Linked DNA regions of Canis lupus familiaris. The protein of the gene in region 1 interacts with the protein of each later gene in a pairwise test. Links are inferred from orthologs where the notes say so. Each region holds a gene or a part of one and is shown in the gene's direction. Other genes may lie near its edges.

The links.
Region 2: the proteins of KPNA3 (region 1) and TSSC4 interact in binary tests that used the Homo sapiens proteins (3 or more experiments, as listed by UniProt). The two-hybrid records come from large-scale screens. The link is inferred for Canis lupus familiaris from reciprocal best matches to the Homo sapiens genes KPNA3 and TSSC4.

Annotation. Positions count from the first base shown.
Region 1 is NC_049243.1:2,072,280-2,075,253, forward strand, and holds part of KPNA3 (importin subunit alpha-4), read left to right. Parts: intron 1-228; coding exon 229-323; intron 324-2,845; coding exon 2,846-2,944; 3' UTR 2,945-2,974. UniProt on the Homo sapiens protein: Functions in nuclear protein import as an adapter protein for nuclear receptor KPNB1. Binds specifically and directly to substrates containing either a simple or bipartite NLS motif.
Region 2 is NC_049239.1:46,929,428-46,933,710, forward strand, and holds TSSC4 (protein TSSC4), read left to right. Parts: upstream 1-1,475; 5' UTR 1,476-1,763; intron 1,764-2,489; 5' UTR 2,490-2,593; intron 2,594-2,763; 5' UTR 2,764-2,783; coding exon 2,784-3,746; 3' UTR 3,747-4,008; downstream 4,009-4,283. UniProt on the Homo sapiens protein: Protein associated with the U5 snRNP, during its maturation and its post-splicing recycling and which is required for spliceosomal tri-snRNP complex assembly in the nucleus.

The DNA of each region.
Region 1 (2,974 bases):
CTGCCTCAGATACCAGGGTACCTCAAGGGTTTCTAAGAGGAAGAAATTCGTGAGATGCTCGTCCTCAACCAGAGCAGCCCAGGGTTTTATCTGTTTTTTAGAAAACTCATCTTTGGGTAATGGTGGGAAGGTATTCTGAGTTCTTTCAGATTTTCCATTGTTAGTATGAACACAGTTTTTATATGTGTATATGCCTAAGAATCTGATTTTGTTCGTTTTTATTACCAGGTTTGGAGAAAATCGAAGTTTTACAGCAACATGAAAATGAAGACATATATAAATTAGCTTTTGAAATCATAGATCAATATTTCTCTGGTGATGATGTAAGTATACATTAAAGTATGGTATGCCTGCATGTACATTAAAATATGTACATACTCTGGGGGATCCCTGGGTGGCGCAGCGGTTTGGCGCCTGCCTTTGGCCCAGGGCACGATCCTGGTAGACCCGGGATTGAATCCCACATCGGGCTCCTGGTGCAGGGAGCCTGCTTCTCCCTCTGCCTGTGTCTCTGCACCTCTCTCTCTCTCTGTGACTATCATAAATAAATAAAAAAATTAAAAAAAAAAAATGTACATACTCTAAATTTACTAAGAATTTTCCTTTTATCATTAATAGGACAATTTTATAATATATTTCTATCAGATACTCTTGAAGTGGCATTTCCAGTTATTTTTAATCTAAAAAAATTAATGATTATTTTCCATCAATCATTTGTTTAAATACTGTGTATGTAACATCATTATAAAGTAAAAATATAAAAACAGTTCTTTGAAGGGGCACCTGCTGGCTCATTCAGTAAAGCATGAGACTCTTAATCTTAGGGTTGTGAGTTTGAGCCACACCTTGGGCATAGAGATTACTTTACAAATGCAATAAGAAAAAAAAATTTTTTTAATCTGTTAAATGGGAAGAAATACTACAGTTGACTCCTGAGCAACAAGTGTTTGAACTGCAAAGGCCTACTTATAGGTAGAATTATATATATATATATATATATATATATATATATATATATATATATATATATATAATTATTATATTATAATATATAATATATATTATATATATTATTATATAATATATAATTTTATATATATATATATAATTACCAAACTATCAAATAATCAAATAGGGTGTGTGTGTGTATGTAAAAAATATATATATCAAATACAGGTATATGTATGTAAAATATATATATATCAAATATAGGTGTGTATACACACACACACAGTACAGTACTATAAACGTATTTTCTGGAGCTCCTGGATGGCTCAATCAGTTAAGCGTCTGACTGGCTCAAGTCATAATGTCAGGGTCCCAGGATTGAGCCCCATGTGGGGCTCCCGACTCAGCAGGGTGTCTGCTTGTATCTCTCCCTGGCCCTTCCCCCCATTTGTGTTCTCTGTCTCTCTCTCAAATAAATAGAATCTTTTCCAAAAAATGTATTTTCTATTTCTTATGATTAGTAACATTTTCTTTTCTCTAGCTTACTTCATTATAAGAATATAGTATTTAGGGACACCTGGGTGGCTCAGCAGTTGAGCGTCTGCCTTCACCTCCGGTCGTGATCCCAGGGTCCTGGGATCGAGTCCCACATCAGGTTCCCTACAAGGAGCCTGCTTCTCCCTCTGCTTGTGTCTCTGCCTCTCTCTCTGTCTCTCTCATGAATAAATAAATTAAAAATCTTTTAAAAATACAGTATTGGGGATCTCTGGGTGGCTCAGCGGTTTAGCACCTGCCTTCAGCCCAGGGCGTGATCCTAGAGCCCCAGGATCAAGTCCCGCATCGGGCTCCCTGCATGGAGCCTGCTTCTCCCTCTACCTGTGTCTCTGCCTCTCTGTCTGTCTCATGAATAAATAAATAAAATCTCTAAAAATAAATACAGTATTTAATACATATAATGTACAAAATATGTTAACTGTTTATATTATTGGTAAGGCTTCCGGTCAACAGTAGGCTATTAATAGTTAAGTTTTGGGAGTCAGGAGTTATACTTGGATTTTGGACTCTGCTTTGGGGAGGAGATTGGTTTCCCTAGCTCCTGTGTCGTTTAAGGGTCAACTGTAATTATAGAAATGATGTGTGTTGAGATGAGTAAAATAAATCTACAGATACAGAAACTTAAGAATGAGGCATGGATGAGGGAGGAGGTAAAAAAAAAAAAAAAAAGAATGGAGCAATTTTTATATGTGTTCAGTTTAATTAAATTGTTAAATTACTGGGGGGACTTGGATGGCTCAGTTGGTTGAGTATCCAACTCTTGGACTCTTGATTTGGGCTCAGGTCCTGATCTCAGGGTCGTGAGATTGAACCCCCATGTTGGGCTCCACAGTCAGCAGGGAGTCTGCTGGAGATTCTCTCCCCCTCTGCCACTCCCCCCACTCATACCCACTCTCTCTCTCTCTTTCTCTCTCTCTCTCTCTCTCTAAAATAAATCCTCAAAAAAAAAGTTAAATTTATTAATATTATTATTGATTTACTTGTTTTTATTTATTGATTGAAACATAGAGAATAATTACAACAGGAGCACCTGGGAGGCTCAGTTGGTTAAGTGTCTGCCTTCGGCTCAGGTCATGATCTCTGGGTCCTGGGCTCAAGCCCTATGTGTGGCCCCTGCCTATCCCTCTCCTCTCCCTGGGGAGCCTGCCTATCCCTCTCCTCTCCTACCCCCCCCTCCCTGCTCATGTTCTGAAACTCTTTCTGTCAAATAAATAAAATCTTCAAAAAGAAGAAAGAATGATTACAACATTTGTAAAGAATTCTCTCATAAGAAGAAAGATTTGCTTATACCACATCTAGTATCTTAACATAATAAGGATATTTTTTGTGTGCTTTTTTATAGATTGATGAAGATCCTAGCCTCATTCCCGAAGCAACACAAGGAGGTACTTACAACTTTGACCCAACAGCCAACCTTCAAACAAAAGAATTTAATTTTTGAGTTCAGTTGAGTGCAGCATCTTTCCCAATT
Region 2 (4,283 bases), on another chromosome or scaffold:
CTCTTCAGAGCTTCTAGGTGTTCCGTGGAGAAGCTGGGGAGCAAGGTCTCAGCCACTGTGTGCGGAGTCCACCCGACCCACCCCCGTCCTGGACCGGGGCCCAGCTGCCTCCTCCCACCCCCACCCCCTCGGGAGTGCTGGGTGATGTCACCATGAGCTGAGTGCAGGCACTGACCTGGTGTATGCTGAACTGGCCCCTTGAGGCCATGAGGGCCTGGCTGGGATTCATGTGGAGGGCTGACAGCTGCCTCCCTTGGCGCTTGTTTTGGAAACTGGCCCCAGCCCTACTTTTGGGGTCATCAGGTCTCAGTGAGGTCTGCCCCTCCTGCCACACCCCTCCACCTTGTGTGCCAGGGTGGGTCCCTGAGAGAACAGAGTGGCCCAAGGAGCAGCCCTGCTTACTTGCCCCTGCACGACCCTGGGGATCCTGGCCTGCAGGCACAGCACAGCCAGTCTGTGCTGGGGAGACCGAGACTGGGGGCGCCCCCAGGAGGGCGGTTCCCTGGGGCGCCCTCGCACAGCGGCACACTGCAGCTGCAGGCGGGGCTGGGGGGCTGGGGGGCCCCCAGGAGGGCAGGTCCCTGGGGCATCCTCACACAGCAGCACACTGCAGCTGCAGGTGGGGCTGGGGGGCCCCCAGGAGGGCGGGTCCCTGGGGCGCCCTCGCACAGCAGCACACTGCAGCTGCAGGCGGGGCTGGGGGGCCCCCAGGAGGGCAGGTCCCTGGGGCATCCTCACACAGTGGCACACTGCAGCTGCAGGCGGGGCTGGGGGGCCCCCAGGAGGGCGGGTCCCTGGGGCGCCCTGGCACAGCGGCACACTGCAGCTGCAGGTGAGGCTGGGGCGCCCCCAGGAGGGCGGGTCCCTGGGGCGCCCTCGCACAGCTGCACACTGCAGCTGCTGGCGGGGCTGGGGGGCCCCCAGGAGGGCGGGGTCCCTGGGGCATCCTCGCACAGCGGCACACTGCAGCTGCAGGCGGGGCTGGGGGGCTGGGGCATCCCGACCTAGCTGCCCGGTGCTGCCGCAGGCCATGCTGGGCGGCCCCGGAAACGAGGGGTCCGCGGGCTTCCCGAGCACTCCAGGACCGCGGCCCCGAGAGACGCGGCCAGACCGGCCGTCAGGTGGGCAGCACCGGCCGGGCCGTCGGGACCGCGAGCCGAGCGCTCAGACGGAACCCGGCCCCCCCCCACCCCCTCCCCCTCCCCCTCCCCCGACCCACGAGCGGGCGGCCCGCACTTCCGGCCTGACCGGAAGCACCCGGCGACGATGCCGCGTGCGACGATGCACTTCCGGCCTGAGGCGGCCGCTGTGCTCGCGACTTCCAGCAGGCGGCGCTGGGGCCCCGGGAACGCGGCGCTGGCCGTTAGTCCTGGAGCATTCTGGGAGTCGCAGTGCTGCCTCTTCCTCCTCCTCCTTTCCCTCCTCAATTCCGGCTCTTTGCGCGAAGGAGAGCCGACGTTTCCGGGGAGGGGGGAGGCTAGGGAGAAAAGCGAGGACGCATGCGCAGGGGCTACGGGACCCGACAGGCCTCGGGAGTAGCGTCCCGGTGCCTTGTGGGAGGTGTAGTTCTTCAGGTGCGGACGCCGAGGCGCCGGGCCGGCGGAAGACTCGGTTTCCCAGGAGGCCGAGCGCGGCGAAAGATGGAGGCGGCCCGGCGGCTTTGAGCCGGTAGGCTTGTGGCGCGGGAGAGAGGTCGCCTTTTCGCAGCCTCCTCGCCCCACATCCCCGAGGTGTTTCGCGTCTTTGGTGGCTCCCCGAGCCTGGTGAGCCGCGGCCCGCGTGCGGCCAGGCCCCCGCCGGGGCGGAGACAGCCGGCGCCGGCTTCCACGGGCGGCCGAGCGCGCCCCAGCCCTGCCCCGGCCGAGCCGCCGGCCTCCGCGGAGAAGCCCGGGAGCCGCCGCGGCCGCTCGCTGTCGCGGGGCGCTGTGCCCGACCCCGGGGCGCCCGCCGGCCCGGCCGCCCCCCCAGGTCGCGGCGGCGCCCCGCCCTCCGGAGCTCCTTCCCTCGCGGGGACGTGCCAGGAGAGGCTGCTGCCGGAGCCGCGGGCTTGCCCTGCCCGCAAGGATGCCCCGGGCGGCCGCTGACCCCCCACTTCCCCGCGGGCCTGACGGTCAGACGCGGAGGCCCCGGCTGCAGACCCGCGTGGAGTCCCGGGGCGTCTGGGCAGGCAGGGGCAGCCCTTGCCTTGCCCAGGCAGGTGGCGCAGCTGTGCCGAGCAGCTCGTGGACGGGCCGCCTGGTCGAGCGCCGTCGTGGAGCGCAGAGCCTGCTGCTGCCCCCGGGCTGGGCCCTGGCTGCTGCCTGCCTAACCCCCAGCGGGCCCCTAGACTTAGCTCAAGAGGGCTGAATGAAGATCTTCCCGAAGGGTCTGCGTCCAGGCCGGCCTGGGCCTGGGCCCCGGAAACCCAGGACCGCCCCCTGGGGGTCGCGGTACCGCTTTGCCCTGGTGCTCCCTGACGATTTGCCCTTCCCACCTTCTGCCCGCTACAGTTGAGCAGCTAAGCGGAGCCGGGACTGAGGCCACCGGGCGCCTTTGCCGGGACTTCACCCACCAGAATTCTGGTGTCTGCACAGACGTTCATCAGACAACGGAGGTGAGACGTTGAGGGGGGGGCGGGTGTGGGAATCTCTGTCCTTTGTTTGGTAGGACATAGCTCTTCCTTCTGGCCCTGCCGCCTGCCCAGGGACTGTGGGTTTATAGGAGGGGCCCGTCCTAAATGGGTGCAATCCTCAGAAACGAACTCTTTGGGCTGTTCTGGTCTAGGTGTGGTGGCCCTGGGACACATGTCTGAGGTAGGGGTAGGAGAGCCCCTGGAAGCCGAGCGAGGAACAGAGGATGACGCTCTGCCTTCCGACACCGTCTCTCTCAGTGACTCGGACTCCGATTTCAGCTTGCCTGGCGGTACTGAGATGGAAGCTCTGCCCCCGGGGGTGCTATCTGGGGAGGCCCAGGGGGACTCAGACCCCGATGAGACCCCTTTGCCTCCAAAAGGCCTCCCCACAGCCTCAGTACAGCCCTTCCACCTGAGAGGCACGAGCTCCACCTTCTCCTGGCGCAGCCGCAACATCTTTGACTGCCTGGAGGACGCAGCCAGGCAAGACCCGGGTGACCATGGGGATTTCATGCAGCCACCAGCATCCTCACACCAGCGTCCAGGAGAGGGCCCGGGCAGGGCCAGTCAGAGCCCTGCCCCCACGAAGTTGCCCCCCATCCCTGACTACATGGCCCACCCTGAGCGCTGGACCAAGTACAGCCTGGAAAACGTAGCCGAGGTCAGTGAGCAGAGCAATCAGGCTGCCGCCCTGGCCTTCCTGAGCTCCCAGAGCCTGGCTGGCCCCAGAGACTACATGCCGTCCTTCAACCAGGATCCCTCCAGCTGTGGGGAGGGAAGAGTCATCTTCACCAAACCGGCCCGAGCTGGCGAGGCCAGGCCTGAGAGGAAGAGGGCCCTGAGGAAGGCAGGAGAGTCAGGCAGGGGTGCCCCTGGGGACCTGGGAGCAGCAGGGGGCGAGGGCCCTGTGGAGCTGGCCCACCTGGCAGGGCCTGGGAGCCCAGAGGCTGAGGAAGAGAACAGCCCCCACGGGGGGCTACAGGAAGTGGACGTGCCACAGGGGGCTGCCCATGCTAGGTCAGCGGTGGGGCCCCCAGTGGTGGAGACTGTTGGCTTCCATGGTAGCAGGAAGCGGAGCAGGGACCATTTCCGGAACAAGAACAACACACCTGAGGCCCCAGGTGCAGAGATTTGAGAGAAGAGACTGCCTGGCTGGCGTTTCCTGACCATGCGGTGGAGGAGGGCAGCCGGGGTCACTGGCCACTTGGAGTGGAGTGGAGCTTGGGGCCCCCCGCCCTGGAAAGGGAGCCAGCGGTCTGCCAGTGTGAGGCGCCAGCAGCCTGGGCTAGGGCTCGGGATAGTGGTCTCTGAAGCAGACAGCTTGCCAGTGGACAGCAAAGACCCTGGCCCACCACATGCCTGTGGGGCCACAGTAAAGGTTTTGGGTGTTGCTTAGACTTTGTGTGTGTGTGTTTGTGTAGATCCTGCGCCTCGGGCCATTGTCTGCCATGCTGTACACCCAACACCCGGTTCTCTCATTTGAGCCTCTTCAACTTAATCTCCAGTGGGCATGGAGGCTTTTTAAATGCTTGCCTGGGTTCACCAGCAGGCCCTCTTTCCAGCTCTCCTGATCCAGAGCAAGAGGTGGAGAAGGCCCCAGGCCCTCGAGGGGGCAACCTCACAGTCCCAGGTGTCCAGCTTCTGCTCCCAACAGGGTGATGAGATGGGTCTC